Linked DNA regions of Sus scrofa. The protein of the gene in region 2 binds, or shares a complex with, the protein of the main gene of each other region. Links are inferred from orthologs where the notes say so. Each region holds a gene or a part of one and is shown on either strand. Other genes may lie near its edges. The genes, in order: WDR77 and PRMT5.

What was found.
Region 1: PRMT5 (region 2) and WDR77 share a complex: the UniProt entries of both Homo sapiens proteins name them as parts of the methylosome complex. The link is inferred for Sus scrofa from reciprocal best matches to the Homo sapiens genes PRMT5 and WDR77.

The regions. Positions count from the first base shown.
Region 1 is NC_010446.5:108,910,809-108,920,709, forward strand, and holds the end of WDR77 (methylosome protein 50), read left to right. Parts: intron 1-1,085; coding exon 1,086-1,156; intron 1,157-1,295; coding exon 1,296-1,350; intron 1,351-1,809; coding exon 1,810-1,881; intron 1,882-2,449; coding exon 2,450-2,558; intron 2,559-3,095; coding exon 3,096-3,164; intron 3,165-3,686; coding exon 3,687-3,846; coding exon of another isoform or gene 3,847-3,877; 3' UTR 3,878-4,786; downstream 4,787-9,901. UniProt on the Homo sapiens protein: Non-catalytic component of the methylosome complex, composed of PRMT5, WDR77 and CLNS1A, which modifies specific arginines to dimethylarginines in several spliceosomal Sm proteins and histones.
Region 2 is NC_010449.5:76,106,328-76,117,234, reverse strand, and holds the start of PRMT5 (protein arginine N-methyltransferase 5), read right to left. Parts: upstream 6,231-10,907; 5' UTR 6,226-6,230; coding exon 6,116-6,225; exon of another isoform or gene 5,880-6,115; intron 5,436-5,879; coding exon 5,317-5,435; intron 5,008-5,316; coding exon 4,922-5,007; intron 4,374-4,921; coding exon 4,239-4,373; intron 3,393-4,238; coding exon 3,280-3,392; intron 3,136-3,279; coding exon 3,086-3,135; intron 2,892-3,085; coding exon 2,728-2,891; intron 2,272-2,727; coding exon 2,110-2,271; intron 1,939-2,109; coding exon 1,861-1,938; intron 1,780-1,860; coding exon 1,721-1,779; intron 1,637-1,720; coding exon 1,514-1,636; intron 1,428-1,513; coding exon 1,252-1,427; intron 701-1,251; coding exon 591-700; intron 214-590; coding exon 120-213; intron 1-119. UniProt on the Homo sapiens protein: Arginine methyltransferase that can both catalyze the formation of omega-N monomethylarginine (MMA) and symmetrical dimethylarginine (sDMA), with a preference for the formation of MMA.

The DNA.
Region 1 (9,901 bases), on a different chromosome or scaffold from region 2:
GTCTGGTTAGTTGCTTTAGAGAAGGTGGTTTCCACAGCCTTTAATTAACACTTAGCATTGACCTTGAACATTTTTAGCCTGTAGCCCTAAGGGAGTCTTGAAAAACTGTACCCTTTCACATGTTTTTAAAGTGGTTTCTAGTTTAAATTGAGCTCATCGCAAAGAAAGTTGTATCTAGCCGTGCCATTTACGGTACACTTTTTCAAAATATGTTTGTCAGAATTTTGGATTTTCAGATTAAGCTCATTTGATTTATGTAAAAAATCTACCAAATAACCTAACTGCCAAAAACCAACTGTGTGTTAAAGTTGGCCAAGTGAGACTTGAGCACTTTTCTTGAAAAATCTGACACTTCGTTTTTAAATTCGTATGGACCTGTTAGGTGTCTTTATGTGACCACATGCCATATTTTTCAAAATTCTCATTATTAAACAGAAGAGATAAGCCACAGAACCACTCTAGGATTTGTGATGGGGATGAGAAAGGCCAGCTTCCCCCACCGAATTTTACCCAGATGCCCTTTCTTTTTTGGTCAGCTCTTCGGGCAAGCCCCTTTTGTTTTCTACCTTAGGTTTCTAGACTCCTGAGCATCGTAGCATGGTGGGCTTGGGGCGGGTGAGAGGTGCGTGTTTCCTTCGCACGGTGGGAGACGGGTGACTGAGGGCAGAGGTGAGCAGTGCTGGCAGCCTCTACATAGTGTCTCAGTTCAATGTGGAGAGAGAGCCTTGGAGCCATTCCCTCTAAACTCTCGGTGTCCAGAGCTCCCTCAGAAGTCTTCGTATGCGCCTGGAGGCACATAGGCCTCTGCTCTTCCACGGTCCTTGCTGTAAGTTCCCCTACTGTTTTTACCCAGCCTTTAATTTATCTTTCATGTCTGTAGTGATTCATTTTTCCCGAAGCCTTTTGAGGTTTTATAATGCTATCAACATTTCCTCTTAGGTTTTGTCTTATCCCAAACGCTCACGGAATTTGTTACATGGCATCACACGACTAGGCTTGTTTCTCACAGCCTCCCTCCTACCCCTTGATAGTGTCTGGACTGCCTCCATTTCTCCGTCGTATTTCTTGTTCTCTCTCCTCTGCAGCTCACTCTGGGCAGGTCACCTGTGTTGCTGCCTCTCCCCACAAAGACTCCGTGTTTCTCTCCTGCAGTGAGGTGAGCTAAAGCCTCTTTTCCCCTTCCCGCCCCCTAAGCGCACCCAGACCCTGTGGACCTCAGTCAGGTGTGGAGGGCTTCCGGCGAGCGGCTGCTTCCTTGGATCGTGAAGCCCTTTTTCTGTCCCTTTTTCTTCTAGGACAATAGAATTTTACTTTGGGATACTCGCTGTCCCAAGCCAGCGTCACAGATAGGTGAGTCTGAGAGCCGGTGGTGGGAGAGTGAACAAGGACCGAGTTCTCCCAGGAGCCCACCTGGAAGAGGCTTTCCTGGGCCAGAGTCAAGGGCGAAGGCGGCCCAGTCACTGACCCAATGGCATAATTGCTCTCCTACCCACTGCAGCTCTGTTGAGCCAGTTGATGCCGTGGGTCCCACAAGGAAGGGCTGGTTCCTAGGTGGGCGATGTACCTTATGTTGCCTGGATGAGGGAACGAAGGGGCCAGAGTTGTTCTCTTCCTGCTTTATCATTGAAACTTGCCCGTGACTCATGTCTGGCAGGGGCAGGAGGCTGATGGGGAGGTGCAGGTTGTGAGGGTCAAGGAGGAGAACAGACGGCCCTGGCAGGACTCACGATACCGAATAGGGTGCCGCCGGGATTTAGAGTGACTTCACCCGAGCAGCTTTGTCTCAGACCCTTCTTCTCCCCTTTGCAGGCTACAGGGCCTCTGGCTACCTGCCTACCTCGCTGGCTTGGCATCCTCAGCGGAGTGAAGTCTTTGTCTTTGGTAAGGCAGCGTGTGAAACTGTGGGACGACTCTGGGAAGGGGAGGATGAGCGAGAGAGCCCTGGCTGCCCACTCTGCCCACTTGGGCACTAGATGAGTTGTGCTCATGGGGGCGGGGAGGCGGAATGATCCGAAAGTGGTTTTGGTTTAGCTTTGGAGAACACGATGATTTTTTTCTTAGTAGATTTGACTCCTGATTGTCTGCTGTGGCTCTTGTGTTCTGGCATAGCTGGAAGTCAGGGGCCACAAAGCGAGTGGATTGTTACAGGGGGATTCTGTTGTGTGGAGGGGGTGGTGGTGCTGACGTGCCGACGTGGCTGTGCCTGTAGGTGCATAGTTTGTAGGAACCTAACAACTATGTCATCGAATAACCTAATAACTATAATTAACCCTGTTAATTTAATTTTCACAACCCCTAGATGACTAATCATTTCTACTTTACCAAAGAGGAAATTGATGCTTAGAGTGGTGAACTTGTCCAAGATTGAGGAACGAGCATCCAAATCCAGGCCTGGCTGAGTCCAAAGCCCATGCTCTTACCTCTGTGATGTCCCCCCTCTTTCCTTCAGGCGATGAGAATGGGACCGTCTCCCTTGTGGACACCAAGAGTGCAAGCTGTGCCCTCAGCGCAACTGTGCACTCCCAGAGTGTCACCGGGCTGGTGTTCTCTCCACACAGGTACTGTTCTTTGTCGTCGAGGGCCTGGCGGGTGTAAATGGGAACAGTGAGGGGAGATGCCTGTGTCGGCGGAGCACTGGCCGACTGGGTAGTTCCTTAAAGCAGGCACTGTTGTAGCTGAGCTTTCGGAATCTCAGTGAGGGGGCTCTTAACACTGCAGTCCTTTTGGGGGTTGTATGGTCTCTGACTGCAAATGGCTGAAATTCGGTGTTGTTCCTGCTCAACACCCACAGTGACTAATATTGTGGGCTTCTAGGGCTGTGTGGTTGGAAGTTGTTTCTGGGTTATTGATGAAGCTGTGGGGAGGGACCCAGTGAGAAGGTTAGTTGCTGGGATGCTTCTCAGCCCTGGCTTTGCTCCCTTTTCCTCATCTGTCTTTGAAACGTATACTGTAGACTTAGGTGTAGCCAGACCTTAGCCTTAAGTGGGGTTAGGCCAGCTGCTCCGATCACTTTAGAGTCGGGGTCTGGGGGCCAGTGAGGTTTTGCATTGGGGCCTGTGGGCTTTACCTCCCCCCGCCACCCCCTTGTCTCCTAGCACTCCCTTCCTGGCTTCTGTGAGTGAAGACTGCTCCCTCGCCGTGCTGGACTCGGGCCTCTCCAAGGTGTAAGTGTGACGTGGAATCCTGTGATCGGGAAGCAGGGCGGGGAGCAGCCGCTGGCTGGGTCCTTTTTCTCTTTGGAAAAGTGTATTGTCTCTTTCCACGGGACCGGGTGATGGAAGCAGGCTTGACTGTCTCCCTTGTTCGGGGCTGACTCACAACCAGCTCTGTCCCTGGCAGTGGGGGAAGGTGGTGGGGTTGGGATTTCCGAGTCTGGCCTTCCAGCTGTCTCCCAGAAAGGGGCAGTCTACCCTCCTCATGTGAAGAGCTACACGCAGGCAGTGCAGCGTGCTGTAGGGCGAAAGGCACCAGGCAGAGATTGGAATTGCACTTCCTTCTTTGCTGTGGTCCGCTGTCTGATGCTGACTTGTGTCATTACCTTTACTCTGGCTCTCATTTCTTCTATGAAAATCGGGCCCTGGATTGGACTGTAACACATCCACAGGACGTGCCCTGGGGTGTCGGGTCCGTTTCTTGGTCCCTCCTGTCTCTCTTACGTGCCCACACTTTTCTTTTTTCTCTTGTAGGTTTAGAAGCCGAGCCCACAGAGACTTTGTGAGAGATGCTACCTGGTCACCGCTCAATCACTCCCTTCTTACGACAGTGGGCTGGGACCATCAGGTCGTCCACCACATCTTGCCCACAGAACCTTTCCCAGAGCCTGGACTTAAGAGTGCTGCCGAGTAGACTGGATTTAAGACAAGCAAATCCCCCATGAGTATCTGCTCCCTCTGCCCCTGCCCACTCAGTTTGTGAGACAACACAGGAGCCTTATATAGTGTGTTGACACACCAGATCTGTTAATAGGCATTGTCTCTCAGCCTGGGGGAGGCTGGATCTGGGGTCCTGTAGTCACAGAGAAGAAAAACTTCCTTGAAGATGGACGTGTGTGTATGTGTCTGAGTGTATGTGTAGATAACATAATTTTTTTAGCAGAGATGAATAAAAAAAAATGCATCCCGCATCTTCCCCAAGATCTAACCCCCCTCCCCCCACAAGAAGTTGGCAGAAGGTTTTTATGCCTCCCATGTAGCTATGCTTGAGGAATTGACTGTGTCTTGGTAAGGTCTGGGCTGTGGGCATTGCTGGATTCTTGGAAGCAGCTCGTGACTCGTCATAGAGATAGGAGCACCTTTATTTTTTTAATAGAGCTTGATTCGCCTTTGTCATGGGCAGTGCTTCCATTCACAGAAGTCCGGCCCAGCTCACCTTGAGGAAGAGCCAGGACACTTAACATGGTTTTGCACATCTCTTTGCCATTAGACTGAGCCGAAGTCCAGTTGCTGGCTGAGTAAGAAGTGTGTGATGCCCACCCCCCGTGAAGTTGTGTATATGAGAGATGAGTGTATTTCTGTCATAGATGCCATGGGAAAAAGTTTCAGGAAGGTGGAGAGCTTAAAGGCACTTCAGTTAAAAACTGACACAGACTTTCATAGGAATGTCTGCCACTTTCCCACCTGAAAACAGCCTGGGGCCTGACCTTTTTTGCCTCTGGGTCCCTGCCTCTGGATCTAGGAAGCCTGAATGTTATTTTGGGGAACTCTGAAGATTTTAAATGCAGCAAGAGAGAGAGAGAATCGGAAATACTGGTCAGTGAAATAAAAAGTTGATTCATTGTTGGCCTGTCTTTTGAGGTGTGTGTCTCATGTGCAGTTAGACCTGTGTCACTTATGTGTCATCTGGGTACCAGTCCTATAGCCCGTTATTTTTTGTGTGTGCTTCCCCAGCCCCACGGAGTAGTTGGAACTTAAGGCAAACGTTTGGTTATTTGGTTGGTGGCTACTGCCGCTTAGAAGTTATGGGTCAATTACTGATTGCATTGAAACTAAATGCAATCAGCTATGTACTTTTGTGCTTTCCAAGTTTCATTTAGTGAAAATCCCATGAAACCGCCCCAGTTTCATGGGCAAAGTATTGGTAAGTAAAGCTTCTGTGTTCCACCCTTGCTGAGCACGAGCTCTATTCTCACAGTTACCCTCTAGTAAAAACAGGGCAATTTGTAGTCAGTGGATCTGTCTACTGGGTTTGCGGGGAGGTAGGAAGGAAGCTTCACTGTTCTTAACTCTAACTCCCTGGGAAGAATTGGTGCTTTGGTAGAAACACTTCCCAGAGGCAAAAGCTTAAAATTTGTGGTCATTTACAGAAAGGAGGTAGGGGGTGAGGTGAGTAGGAATTAAACCTGCATTGGCCTGTTGTTCATGGACTTCAGAATGGTGGAGAGAAACTCAGAAGAGACGAATTCAAGGAAACCAGTGCTAGTCTGTCAAGGTGCTTAGAGTGACATCGAAGGAGGAAAACCTAAGTTTTTGAAGAACCACGTTACTTAATTTAAAAAATGTTAGTTTGGATTCAGATCTGGGCTGATGAAGGCAATTCACATCGATTAGTGATGGCCACCAAGACATTTGTAAAACTAATTGAAGTCACAGTAGGAATGACCATCACAATTTTGGTTAAATATCTCTCTTGTGAGAAAAAAGCTGGTTCAAGATAAAAGACGACCTCCAAATAATCAGAAATGTAGCATCACATGTAGGATTATTCACAGACCCTTGATTTGAGAGTAGTTTCAGTAGAGTGAGCAGACTTCCCCTGTGACGGGTGGAAATGGGCTCCTTTTTTTTTTTTTTTTTTTTTTTTTTGGTTTGTTTGAAGTCATACAAGCGTGTATTCTCCATTTAGTTTCACTCGTTCCAATGTCTGAGCACCAGGGAGTAGACCCATTTCCCTATCTTCATTGTTCTTACTCTAAAATCCATTAACCAGACCCATGATGTTCCCCTGCTGATTTCAGGTGCTCAGAACACCAAAGGCTGAGGTTGGCTCAAGTGCAGTTGCAGGTGGCTCCAGACATCAGGCTGCTTCTCCAGGGTCTCTCCTGCCCCGCAGAACAGTAGGAGGCTGGTCATTAATTACCAGCTACGTGAGCATTTCCTGCTGATTTACAATCGCACTATTGGCAGCAAAATCACCCAAGCTCTGAGTGCTCTGGGCTTCTAGCCATGTTTGTTCTAGGCTGCATGATAGAAAGGGCTGGAACTTGGGAAGATTTAGGTGGGAGGGTCCCTGCAGTTTATTTTTCAATCACGCAGCTACAGAGTGATTACCTCATCCAGACCTAAAAGAAAAGGGCTCTGACTTTTAAAAGGCAGATTCTTGTTGCATTTGGACAGCACAAATGATGTGCTTTCATATTTTTTTTTGTGTTTCAGTGGTCACTTGACTCAACTCTAGCTACAAACTAGAAGAATGGGAAAAAAAGATTTGTTCCAGAATATATGAGCATTTCTTTCACTAAGGCATATACCAAGTGTTTCTATGTATTCCGGGGCAGTTTTAGGACATCAAAGAAAAGCCAGCATACATGAAAGAAGCTGAGCGAATTCTTATTGGATCTCCGTTCATAGCAAGTTTCTTAGCTGCATATCTCTGGGTCACACTGAACTTAAGAATCACTCGTGCAGGAAACAGATTTTTTTTGGAAAAAAGATAAGCAAGCTCTAGTCTAGTTTCACAATTTGCGTTGTGAGGGAATTCAAATTTTCGAGAACATCAGCTTTCTATATAGCTTGATTTTGGGAAAGTAAGCAGACCAATCTTAAACCCAAAACAGTCTCTTATTGAGTTCTCTATCAAAAAATGGGCAGTTGTGGAGTTTTTCTTCCTCATCACGGGGTCACAGGATTAGTACAATCCAGAGAGTGACGGAGATGTAAAGATCAAGAGAGGAAGCAATAACTCATTGTAAGTAATAGAGGCACGTAAGATATAATCATTGATCCTAAAATCTTTCATCATCTGGGTAAGTTTTAATGCAGTTCTACTTATTCTGGAAACCCTCCTTGTCTTGTAAATGTTCTGCTGCCTCAGTGTATAGTATAATAAATCATCAAAATTCAAAAGATCAGTAAATAAAGAGTTTAACCCCTAAACACCATCCTTTTAACTTTATAGTGGCAGCCTAGCCAGTGCTACTTGTTGAAAGTTCCCTCAGTGAATAAAGACATTTCATTATCACTGTGGTGCTGGGTGTCAGATTCTGGAATATTTCACTTTGGGAGGCACCATGTTATAAGCAATAGGAACTTCAGTTTCAAATTAAAAGTTTTTACTCCAATAATAAATCTCATCTGGGATCACAGTGGAAAGGAATGAAGCTTATTTGGATTAGAAAGTGTTTTTTACATGTACAAGCTAAATCAGCTTCAAGTTCTGCCAGATCTTTTAACAAGCAACTTGTCTTTTATAGAAACCCTCTGAGTAGGTTAGAAACTGGCTGATCAGTACAGGCCCCTGATCATTATCCAAAATCAACTTGCCTGGAAGTTAATATTAACACTACCTGACCTTGGCACCTGCCATCCCTGGGCTCCTATTGGCAGATTCCTCATGGCAGGATCAACTTGAGCCTTAGTTATCTCTTTCTGTTTTTTTTTTTTTTTTTTAGGCATGACAAAATATTTAAACTTACCATTTTAACTATTTTAAGTGTACGATTCAGTGGCATTAAGTATACTCACATTGTAATGTAATCATTTCCACACTCCATTATCCCAAATTGAAACTTCATGCCGGTTAAGCAATAACTCCCTCCTCCCAGGCTCTGACAACCTCCATTCTACTTTCAGCTCTATGAATGTGACGAGTCTAGGTGCCTCTTATGAGTGGAAGTGTTTGTCCTCTGTGTCTAGTTTATCAGTTGATTTTATAAGGTGTTGACTTGCTCCTCAAAGCGTGGTCCATGGACCAGCAGCATTGACATCATCTGGAACTTGTTAGAAGGGCAGAATTTATATTTTCACAACTTCCCTAGTCACTCCTGCATGTTAAATTTTGTGAAGCACTGGCTCCGATTAGCTTTTGAGAATTCTAGGTGGTTCAGGAACCAGGCAGGGAAGTCACCAGTCATTGAAGAGTGAGTAGCTGTGGTGTATCAGAAGCTTTCAGGCAGTGTGGTTTGTGGTAGTGAGCAAGATGGCAGCCCAGGCTTCAGCAGCCTAGTCAAGAGAGAGAGAGAGGATGAAATTAGTGTTTCAGTGCTAGCCAAAAGAAATAGATTGGTAGAAAACAGAGGGATCATAACCAGTCATGAAGCAGTGGCGAAGTGACATTTGAATGGAGCTCTCAGGGTTGAATGTGGGTTGGCTGATGTTTGGGGCTAGGGAGGCATTCCAGATGGAAGTTGCTGTGTGGAAGGAGCTTTGAGCTTCCTGGACAAGGAGGACACTGCAGCTACTATTAAAAGGAGATGAGACTAGTGACAGCTGCATGGTGGATGCTGTGAGCCTCAGTAAGGATCTCAAAAGTAACACGTACCTCAGAAGTAACATGTTCCATGTGCTTTTTGGAATGGATTCCATTGCTGTGCTTTGGAGGGAAGACTATGGATGCTTAAAGGGGACTGGTTTTTTGTTTTGTTTTGTTTTTTTCTTTTTTTTTAATTTGATCTGAGCCACTAGATTAGCCTTGGCCATTTGGCTACTCCCACCCAGGAGTTAAATCTGGAGGGAATGCTGCAAAGATTCAAAGAATGGGTATCTGGCAATGACAACTAACAGCCCAGTGGCAGCAGCACCATTACCAGTCCCAACAGGGAACTTCCTAATCAGGCTTCCAGTGACAGGACCCAGGCACTGTCCTTTATAGTCTTTCTTGGATCCTGCCTGTGTTTTAAGACTGATTCTTGAAACTGAGTTGTATGAGCTGTTTATAAATTTTGGAAATTAACCCCTTATTGGTCACATCATTTGCAAATATTTTCTCCCATTCAGTAGGTTGTCTTTTCATTTTGCTGCTGGTTTCCTTTGCAGTGCAAAAGCTTTTATTTTATTTTATTTATTATTATTTTTTGTCTTCTGTCTTTTTGAGGGTCACACCCACAGCCTACGGAGGTTCCCAGGCTAGGGGTCTAATCGGAGCTGTAGCTGCCGGCCTTCGCCAGAGCCACAGCAACACCAGATCCAAGCTGCGTCTGCAACCTACACCACCGCTCATGGCAACGCCGGATCCTTAACCCACTGAGCGAGGCCAGGGATGGAACTTGCAGCCTCATGGTTCCTGGTTGGATTCGTTAACCACTGAGCCATGATGGGAACTCCCGGGTCTCATTCTTTTACATGTAGCTGTCCAGTTTTCCCAGCACCAGTTGTTGAGGAGACTGTTCTCCACTGTATATTCTTGCCTCCTTTGTTGGAGGTTAATTGACCATAAGTGCATGGGTTTATTTATGGGCTCTCTATCCTGTTTCATTGGTCGGTGTGTCTGTTTTTGTGCCAATACCATACTGTTTTCATTACTCTAAAAAGCTTTGTAGTACAGTCTGAAGTCTGGTAGCATGATTCCTCCAGCCTAGTTCTCTTTTCTTGATTGCTTTGGCAATTTAGAGTCATTTGTGGTTCCATGTAAATTTTAGGTTTTTTCTAGTCCTGTAAAAAATGTCATGGGTATTTTGATAGGTATTACATTAAATTTGCTTTGGGTAGCATAGACAATTTAACAATATTAATTCTTCTAATCCAAAAACATGGGATATCTTTCCATTTCTTTGTATCATTACCAAATTCCTTCATCAATATTTTGTAGTTTTCAGAATATATGTCTTTCACTTCCTTAGTTAATTTTATTCCTAGGTATTTTATTCTTCTTGATGTGATTGTAAATGGGATTATTTCCTTAATTTCTCTTTCTCATAGTTCACTATTACAAAGGACCCAATAAAAGAGTGAGCAGAAGACTTGAATAG
Region 2 (10,907 bases):
GGATCAGGAAAGGAAGCCTAGATAGAGGCCGGATAGAGCAGACCCAGGACAGCAAGGGAAGAAACCAGGAGGGCAACCTCTCACCCTTCCCATCAGAGGACAGCCATGTAGGAACCCACCTCTGTTGGGGTGGCTGAAGGTAAAACAGGGCTGGGGAGCAGAGAGCTGGTGGAAGTTGTGCAGCCGTACCACATAAGGCATCTCAAACTGGGCCTGTCCCAAGAGAGAGAGCAAGAGCTGGAGAAGACAGGCAAGGGCTACTCATTACCTCAGGGACTACAGCTCCAGCTTCGGGGACTAAAGATCACAACATAGTTCCACTTCCACTATTTTCCCACATCCCCGACTATTCCTTCACCTCTTCATCTTCTCCAGTGGAAGAAAACAGTTATGCTAATATAGAAAAAGAAAGGGACTAAAGAGAGAAGAGTCCTCCAAGAGAGAATGGCTCCCTGTTGGCTCAGTGGATTAAGGATCTAGCAATGTCACCGCTGTGGCTTCGTTTTGATCCCTGGCCTGAAAACTTCTGCATGCCGCAGGTATGGCCAAAAAAAAAAAAAAGAAGAAGAAGAAGAAGAGAGTGGCCTCACCTCAGGGTCACGGTCTTTTTCCCGACAGGCTCGAACCTCATTGTACAACTTGGAGGAGGAGATGGGAGCTAGAAAGGAGGTGTATTCCCCAGGGATGCTCACGCCATCATCTGCAGAGCAGAAGGTCACATTACTTCCCAAGGGCTAGAAACAGTGTATCTGTACTCAGTGAAGGCCCAGACCTCCCACATCAAAAGACTCAAGCAGTTTCGTGTTGTCACATTCTCAGGCCGACCTGCTCCCTACTCCTTGTCCTGGGGGATTCCACTTCTAGGTTAATTTATAGTCACACAAGAGTAAAGTTGGAAGGAACCCAAGGTCTTCTAGTCTAGAGGTTCTTAACTCTCTTAATACAAAGTCCTCTGAGATCCTGATGAAAGCTAAGCCCAAGGTACATATCATGTCAGCTCAGGGAGTTCACAGACCTCAGATTGAGTCTTTGCTCTGGTCCTCCCCTCATCTTACAGACGTGAACACCTAGGTTCAGAGAGACTGCTTCATTTGCTAAGGCTCCTGCCCCAAGTCTACCCGCCTTCCCCGCTTCCCCTAAACCTTGCAGCTTCCTCTAGGCTACTGCCACACCCATCCCTCCCCAACCCGCTCCCACCTTCCCAGCTGATAATCCAGTCCCCTTATGCAATACACCCCAGCCTAGAGGCACCTTTTAAGAAGTGCTGGGCTCCATCCAGGCACTCGGGTGACAGCTCATTGTCAGCGAAGGACCCCAGAAGCTCACTGACAATGATATCTGCTTTCTCTGGAGCCACCCATTCCCGCATGTCCGAGGAGACTACTGTCACCTGGCTTCCCCATTCTTCAAACTGCCAATTCTCCAGCCTAAAACAGAGATGATACAAGTGAGGACACAGCTAAGAAAAACTGGCACTGGGGACAAACTTGCCAACAAGGAGGTTGCTACTCACGTCACCACAGCATTTGGGTTCTTCTCCACAGCGTACAGCTTTATCCGCCGGTCAGCCTGCTTGGCTGCCCGCAGGGAGGCATTCACCAGGGGCCCCCGGCCCGCTCCCAGCACCATGAGCACTCTATGAAAGAGACAGGAGTCAAGCTGACTCGGCATATAGAGACACAGGCATGCAAAGCTCTGGGCTCATGGGGAGAGCACTCACTGGACGTTGGTGTCCTTCTCCTCCTCTGGCACTCGGTCTAATAGACATTTATAGATGGCCTGGGGGAAGAGAAAAGACCTCATGGTTGTAATGCCATCCTCACCCAGGTCATCCTAGCCAATCTGAGATCCACACTATACCTGCTGGTATTGAGAGTATTTGATGGGGTCCTTTTCAAACACTTCATATGTTTGAGATTCCAGATTATCCATCAGTGGCTGATGAAATGAAAAAGAGAAAGTAAGTGAGCCAGTTTCTAGCAAGGACAGTGCACCAGAGTACCAAAGCCTTCCCACTGCTCCCTGAGCTTTGTCAGGATTTTCAGGCACCTGCTCTCAGGAGACATTTCCGTCCGCCACCTCCCTCCTCTCAGTGCACTCCAGACCCACCTGGAGTGGGGACTGCAGGTAGTCTTCATAGCCCTTGGCAAAGAGTTCGTAGGCATTGGGTGGAGGTCGGTTCTGGCTCAAGTATTCTAAGTATTGGAGGTAGGAGCAGAACTCCTTCTCTGAGTGGTGGTTGGTGCCTGTAATGATGAACTGCACCTCCAACTGCGAGGATAAGTCAGACCATCAGACACAATCTTTAAACCAAGAGGATATTATTATGGTTTGTGGGCGAAGAGCTCTAGCATAAAATATGGCCCAGATCAGCAGTTCTCTGGTCCAACAAATACCTCCAAATAACAACAAAAGCAGCACAAACCCTCCTATGCCACATAAGCATCATCCTGGCCCATGGCTCCTTGTTGTAACTTCTTAAATGAAACTTTCTGCAAAGTTCTCATGAGACCTGGTTCCTTTTGAAATATTTCTGGGCCTCCTACTGCTATTTGTCTTTTTGCTCTCAAGACCCCCAACTTTGCTGAAATTGCTCTCCAGAAATTAGAAAGGAAAAGAGTTAGCCCCACAGAGAGAGAAAAAAAAAAAAATCCATCATACATATATGTGTGAATAAGGCAGCAAGAAGAGTAGCTGGAGCACGTTTAGAACCTTTCTACTACACACCTTGAGGAGTCGGAAGATCAGCCTCTGATGCATCTTAGAAAGAACAGGAAATCCCTTCTTATTGGTCAGGAAAATGCTGGTGGGGAGAATGGCTGCTTTGATGGGCTCCCCAAGCCAACGATCAATGACATGATTAGATGGAAGGTCAGCACCAATTTCAAGAGCTACACAAGGGAAAATATCTGTCAGTCACTGATAAGCCAGAAGTCTCTCCTTGCTCTTTTGTGCAAGATCTATTTTTCTCAAGACAAGGCAGACTGAGGCACAGGGAAAGGAGCAAGCACATATACACGAAATTCCCGATTCTTCATCACAGAAGGTCAAAGGACAACCTATGCCAGGACCTTCATGGACTTACCCACCGCAATCCTTTTGCTATAGTCACACAAGGTTCGGAAGTTGTGCCACCTGTTCAGTCAAACACAGGAAAATACAGTCAAATATATATAGCCCACCAACCACCATACCTCAAGGAGACCCTCCTGCAGGGCCCACCCTGTACTTCCTCTCACCCTACCCTTTGCCCTGGCACAGCAGCAGAAGGAGACATACCACATCCACGTCTTCTCCTCTCCGCTGTACTCCTCTGTGTGTGATGCTGGTGCATTCTCGATTATATCATCTCTTAGGTCCTCTGGTGCCACCAATGGCACCCGCATCCAGAACTGCACATGAACAATAAATAGCTTCTGTACCTTAATTAATTAATTAATTTATTTTTGGCCGTGCCCTTGGCATGTGGAAGTGTCCAGGCTGGGGATCAAACCCCACCACAGCAATAACCCAAGCCGCAACAGCGACAACACCAGATTCTTAACCCACTGCGCCACAAGAAAACACCTCTCTGCCCTATTTAGAACTCTATTTTGAACTCATTGGGTCCAGAAGCTTCTTTCAATTAAAAAGATCTTGATCCAGGAGTTCCTGTCATGGCACAGGGGAAACGAATCCGACTAAGAACCACTAAGAGCTAAGATTGTGGGTTTGATCCCTGGCCTCCCTCAGTGGGTTAAGGACCTGATGTTGCCATGAGCTGTGGTGTAGGTCGCAGACACGGCTCAGATGTGGCGTTGCTGTGGCTATGGTGTAGGCCGGCAGCTACAGCTCTGATTTGACTCCTAGCCTGGGAACCTCCATGTGCCACAGGTGCAGCCCTGAAAAGACAAAAAAAAAAGCTTAAACATAAATAAATAAAAAGATCTTGATCTAGATTTCAACTTAATCCCCTTACATGCTTTTCCCAATTGTGATTTTATGTATGTGCACACGTATCTCGTGTACATCCTTATGTAAGTATCTGCCCTGTCTTTTACTTTATTATAAGTTTCTGGAGATAATAGAATATGCTATGTATTTTATAAGTCTCTGCTTACCACTTTTAGTTGTGGGTAGGCAGGACTGACATTTAAATTCTGCCTAATGCACCCTTTACTGAATGGCTAGGAAAAGAAGATATTTAGCACAGCCTGACTACCATAATGTGCAGCAGGAAAGGAGGCCCTCAGCCATACCATGGAGGAGTGGTGGCCAGTGTGGATGTGATTAGTCAAAACTCTTGCCAAGTTTGTGTTATCTTCCTGATTTAGGGGCAGCAGGAAAGCTGGAAGACCCAAATAGGCCCCAAAATTCAGCTCCTGTAACATAGCCTAGAATGGAGAACAAGAGGCAAAGTTAAGAGCTAGCAACTCAAACAACCTTTTTTTTTTTTTTTTTTTTGTCTCTTTAGGGCTGCACCCACGGCATATGGAGGTTTCCAGGCTGGGGGTCCAATCAGAGCTGAAGCCGCCGGCCTACGCCACAGCCACAGCAACTCAGGACCTGAGCCATGTCTGCAACCTACACCACAGCTCACGGCAATGCCGGATCCTTAACCCGCTGAGCAAGGCCAGGGACTGAACCCTTGTCCTCATCCTCATGGATGCTAGTTTTTTTTTTTTTTTTTTTTTTTTATTTTCCCACTGTACAGCAAGGGGGTCAGGTCATCCTTAGATGTATACATTGCAGTTACAGTTTTTTCCCCCACTGGATGCTAGTTTGATTCATTAACCACTAAGCCACAAGGGGAACTCCTCAAACAGCTTTAAGTGCATTACATCAGATTTACTAAGTTATGGAGGGGAAAAATCTGTTCTCCCCATCCAGGTTGTTTACAGATCTGATCTTTAGAAAGATTCGGTGAAGATGTCAGTCTTACCGCCTCAGAGTTCCTGCGGATCTTCTCCACTTTTGAGTCTGGACGAATCCATGGGGAAAGCTTGCCCACAATTAGTGTATTCCAGTCTGCACTCCCCAACCCAAGAAAGACAAAGACTGAGTGAGGTTCAGCACTTTATGCATTCAATTTCTATTTCTTAACAGGGAATAGTAGAGATGAGAGACAAAAGGCTTTTTCTATCACAGATACAGGAAAGCCTGATGCAGAATAGGAAACTAAGGCTTTGAGCAGTAAGCAAGGAGAGAACAAGAGTTATCCATATCCCAGGGTTGAACAAATACATCCAGGTCAAGAAAGGAAGAGGAAGAAGGCACTGATAAAACATAAGTTGTTACTGCCTCTAATAATTAAGGGGCATGTGGGATGGTCCCTACCCCTTCCTGACAGCAGTAGGTCTGATCGTGTCTGGGGACCCGGCCGATTCTTAGCAGGTTCCTGAGTGAACTCCCTCTTGAAACGCGGGTGGAAGACAGGCATGCAGAGGAAATCAAACCTACAACCACGACAGACCCAGAATCGTCATGTAAAGAGAGTAGCAGTGCCCAGCGATCCAAGCAATTGGACTAGGCTATCTCCATTCTGCACAACCCTTTCAGCTGCCATTAGTCAGTCACTCGAATGGGCTGCTGAATTCGGCCCATTTTAGGGAATATCACTTCCACTGCGTTGTGCCTCAATTTCTTCCCAGAACAGAGCCATGGAAAAGATGAGAAAAGAGAAAAGATGAAAATCCACGCCACGTGGACTTTCTACTCTGTTGTCACTGATTTTCCAAGACTGTCATATCCAGATCTGCTCCAGTACTACCCAGGCTTCAGCCCTCAAGGTTCATCTCTCCTCTCCCTAGCCCCATAACACTTCCTCCCACTCTGAGACAAGAACCTCGCACCTCGCTCTCCAGGGCCCTTGAGGTCGTACGCCCTCTTTTTGAGTTTACCTGATAACTCTCTCGACTTTGGGGTTCAGGGACCACACGTTCCCAATATGTCTTTCTTTCTCTTTCTCTTACGCTCCAGGGCCGGAGGCTTCTCCCTACATGGACTAGCGGTTTCTCCCACCCTAATCTTATCCACTCCGACCCCCTCACCCCTGCTTCCCAGGGATGACTGGTCTGCCCCTCTCAGTCCCCGAGTTCCGACCCCGCATTCTGTTCGCGGAAGTCCAGGCCCTCACCCCTGCTTGGCCACAGCCCCCAGTGTGTCAGCTATTTCGGGGACGCAATTCAGGTCCCTCCCGCTGGACACGCGGCTTCCACCGGCACCGCCGACCGCCATCGCCGCCATCTTTTCCCTCGCGCAGTCCACGCCGAGATTCCCTGACACTGGCAGCCAATCACAAAGCCGAAAAAAAGCCCCCGGAAGGCGGGACGAGTCTCCCTGACAACCAAAGCGTCTCCCAGGGTCCCGAGCAAGTGGAGGAGGGGTGGGAAGTGGCTCTTCCTGCCAATCCGCAGGCTGCACAGTGACGTAGGGCACGGCTCCGGAAGAGTCACCAATCTCAGGGTCTGGTTCTCGACAAACTTCGATCTCCCATAATGCTTCATGTACTGGTAAAATTCCGGTAAGAGACTACACGTCCCATGAAACCCTGCAGTATAAGCTTGAAGTGTCATCATTGAGAACGAAGAAGTCGTCTCAGGGCCAGTGGCGCAATGGATAACGCGTCTGACTACGGATCAGAAGATTCCAGGTTCGACTCCTGGCTGGCTCGGTGGGGCTAACGCTTTTGGTGCATCCCCTGCAATGCTTTAATGCCCCCTTTTAAAATTTCTTCGCTGTCCTCTCTCGCTCTCATTTTCAGGTCTTAATGTTATTGCATTCTGCAACTATTTCATGCCAGCGTTTAATAATACCTAGTTCAAAGATGGTTCTTGTGTCCCTGCCTTGGTGCATCCAAATGCACCAAGAAAACTGAGTTAATGGCTGGTGCTCTTAAAATGGATTTTGAATGGGCCTTAGTATATTTTTAAACAGATTGTGGCAATTCAGCCACAAATTCCTTGTGATTCGGTATCTCAAATACAAAAAGCAAACACTGAAACACACACACCACTGAAGATAAAGGAATTCATGGTGAGAGATTACAGTGGAGAGAAGTTATGAATTGACTGGCAGAGACAGGAAAGAGTCTCTACATTTTTCTTTTCCATGCTTGCTAGAGGGATGGAAAAGAAGGAAAGGAATGAAGCAAAAAAAGATCTAGGCAGGAGAAATACCTGAAGGCAGGAAGCCCAGAGGTGTTGCGGACTTGGCAGCGGGGAACGGAAAAGAGAATCAATACAAAAGGCCCTAGGCAGGAGGCCTTGACAGAATTTAGAGACCGACTGACAGGGAGTCTGAGAAAGGGAAGTCTGGGGGTGATGCCCAGAGTTCTGGCCTCTTTGAGCGAGACAAATGATAAAAGCTGGTTTAGGGAGAATCGAGGCTGGGGTTTGGAAATGCTGACTTGGACGTCTAGGGGGCGCTGTGTAATAGAGAGTTGTATGAACAGTGATCTGAACCAGACAAGATTTGCAAATCGCCAGAAGAGAGATAGTGACTGAAGCCAGGAGACCGAATGAGATCGCCGCAGTGGACGACAGAGTCCTGAGAAACACGGAATGTGTGTGGATAGGCTAAGCTATAAGGGAATACATTGTAAGCGCCCCAAAAGGATGAAAGTCAGAAAGTCAGAGAACTACGAAAATGCCTATGAAGCCTAAAAGAGTTGGAGGTGCTTGTGTCTCATCTTACTATTACTAGAATTTGTCTTTTTTTTCTTTCCTTTTTTAATGGGAAAAAAAAAAAAAAAAAAAGGTATATGGAAGTTCCCTCCCAGGCCAGGTATCCAGCCCATGCCTCTGAAGTGACCAGAACCGCTGCAGTTGGATTCTTAACCCACTGTACCACAGTGGCACCTCCTAGACTTTTTCTTAAAAGTTTTAGATTTGCAGAAAAATTGCAGAGATAGTACAGGAGTTCTCACATTCCACCCCCCCATCTTTCTCTATTATTAACATCTTAACGTTAATATGGTACATTTACCTGCTGAGCCACCAGGGAACTCTTGATATGTTATTATTGATAATTATTAACTGAAGTCCATAGTTTATTCAGATTTCCCTAATTTTTACCTAATGTCTTCTTTCTGTTCCATGATCCCATCCAGGGTACCATGTTACATATAGTTGTCATATCTGCTCATGTCTGCTTAGGCTCCTCTTGGCTATGACAGTTTCTCAAATGTTCCTTGTTTTTTGCTTTTTAGGAGCGCACCCATGGCATATGGGAGCTCCCAGGCTAGGGGATGAATCGAAGCTACAGCTGCTGGCCTACGCCACAGCCTCAGCAACACGGGATCTGAACCCCAGCTGCATCCTACACCACAGCTCAGGGCAACGGCAAATCCCCAACCCAGTGGGCAAGGCTAGGGTTTGAACATGCATCCTCATGGATACTAGTTGGATTTGTTTCTGATGTGCCACAGCAGGAACTGCCAAATGTTCCTTGTTTTTGACAACCTTAATTGTTTTGAGTAGTATTGGTCAGGTTTACTGCAAGACAGCCCTCTATTGGAATTTGTCTGATGGTTTTCTCATGATCAGACTCAGGTTATGGTTTTGGGAGAGGAAGATCACAGAGCTCAAGTGCCATTTTCATCATGTCATATCAAGAATACATACCATCAACATGATTTATGACTATTGATGTTGACCTTTATCACCTGGTAGAACTAGTGTTTATCAGTTCTCTCCAGTGGAAAATTACATGCCTTCCCCCTTTCCATCCTGTACTCTTTGGAAGTCATTATGTGCATTCCACACGTAAGGAGTGCGGAGTTATTCTTCCCCTCCTTTGAGGTGGAATGTCTACGATATTTATTTGAATTCTTCCCTGCAGGTCTCATGAGTAGGGACTTAACAGGAAGTGGGTGAGTGCTCTTCTGACATTTTAAGAAGAAAAAGAGTTGTTGGGCAGGCCTGCTTTTTCTCTCCCCCAACTGTGCCCAACCAAACTCCACATTCACAGAAGACTTATTAGATGTTGTTTCGTCTTCAGAAGCTAATTATCTGGGCTGTGGACCATCTGTGCTCCTGGCATCTTCCTCCTAATGTCAAGCTGGTGGCTGCTCTGTTGGTTGTTAACTAACCCATCCATGGATGAAAGGGAGAGAAGAAAATCTATGAAATGGTAATGTCAGTTTTGCCATCAGTAAAATAATTTTCAAAAGAATTTGTGTAAAAAGAGCCTAGAATTTCTAACTGACTTTAAAATAAGTTTGGATGGGCTGAATTTCATTTGTCTGGGATGTCTTTGTTTTTTCATTCAAAATTGCCTCCGCTGTGTGGCAAGCGTGATGCTGAACAGAGAAATTCCATACCACATCACACCCTACCTGTCCTATTGCATGTTCCTTTGCCTTAAAGAACAGCATGGACTGTGGGTCTGTCTATATGAGCTACAGACGAGCAGAGGGAAGGACTGAAAAAGAAATAAAGAACCTGTTGTAGGACTTAGCCCTAGACATAAAGCCAGAGTCGGTAGAGTCTGTCTTATGCTCTGTTTCTCTCCGCTCTGCTCTTCATGCTGAACTCTTGTGCTCCAAAGTATGTCCATCACTGTTATATTATAGAATGCAGGCCTTTGCTGAGATGAAGACAGGGAGATGATGGGTAAGAAATAATGTTATTTTCTCCAACAAAAGCTGGTGACCAACAGGGCGGAGCATTGGAAACTTTTCTGGAAGGAAAGGAGTACCCACACCCAGCATTCCTCACCTTCAGACCCAGTTGTTCTACCTGCTCCTGGTTGTATGTCCTTGTTTCAACACTGCCAGTCCATTTTAAACCCTCCTTTCACCTTTTCTTGGGCTCCCCTCCTCCCTCAGCACTTGCCTCCCTCCCCAGCATCACCTTCACTCACCTCTGTGCCTGCCCAGCCAGCCGCACTCTTCAACACCAAAATAATGGCCCGTTTGACCCTCCTACTGCTCCAAATTGCTTCTTCACAATCAAGGCTGTCCTCGAGCTACAAAAGTGGCAGAGTTACTGAGGCAAAATAATCTGTGCCAATTTGCATTCTCTTCCTTGTCATCTCTATTATACAGTATTTATCTGTCAAAATGAATTGAAAGTAGAAACTGTTCTGGAACATAGAAAAAGATGGAAAACTACCCGATTTGTTTATGAACCCAGAATATACCTAATACCAAAAACTATCGGAAATAGCACCCTCTCAAAAAAAAACCCTATAGACCTATCTTGCTATGGATATAAATGTAAAAATCCTAAAATATTTAAGATTAACAATAAAAGCCATGAGTATATTAACACAATAATAATATGCCAGAATCAGTTAGGGTTTATCTCAAGAATTAACGCAAAGTAAGGTATTAGGACATTTATTTATATAACAGATCAAAGATAGAAAAAATATTTGATCATTTTTAATAGTCATCAATGAGAGAATGTGGTGGATCAATTCCATTTTCTTTTCTTTTCTTTTCTTTTTTTTTTTTTTAGGGCCGCACTAGCAGCACATGGAAATTCCCAGGCTGGGAGTCGAATCCGAGCTGCAGCTGCTGGCCTGTGCCACAGCCACAGCCAGAGCCACAGCCATGCCAGATCCTTAACTGAGCTAGGCCAGGGATCAATCCCACATCCTCAGGGATCCTAGTTGGGATTGTTAACCACTGAGCCATGAAGGGAACTCCTCAATTCCATTTTCTTAAACATTATTTTTTGTCTTTTTAGAGCTGCACCCATGGGATATGGAAGTTCCCAGGCTAGGGATTGAATCAGAGCTGCAGCTGCTGGCCTACACAGGATCCGAGCTGCATCTGCAACCTACACCTCAGTTCACCACAACACCACTGAGTGAGGCCAGGGATTGAATCTCCATCCTCGTGGATGCTAATCAGATTCCTTTCCACTGATCCATGACAGGATCCTAAATATTCTTTTTTTTTTTTTTTTTCCTTTTTGCCA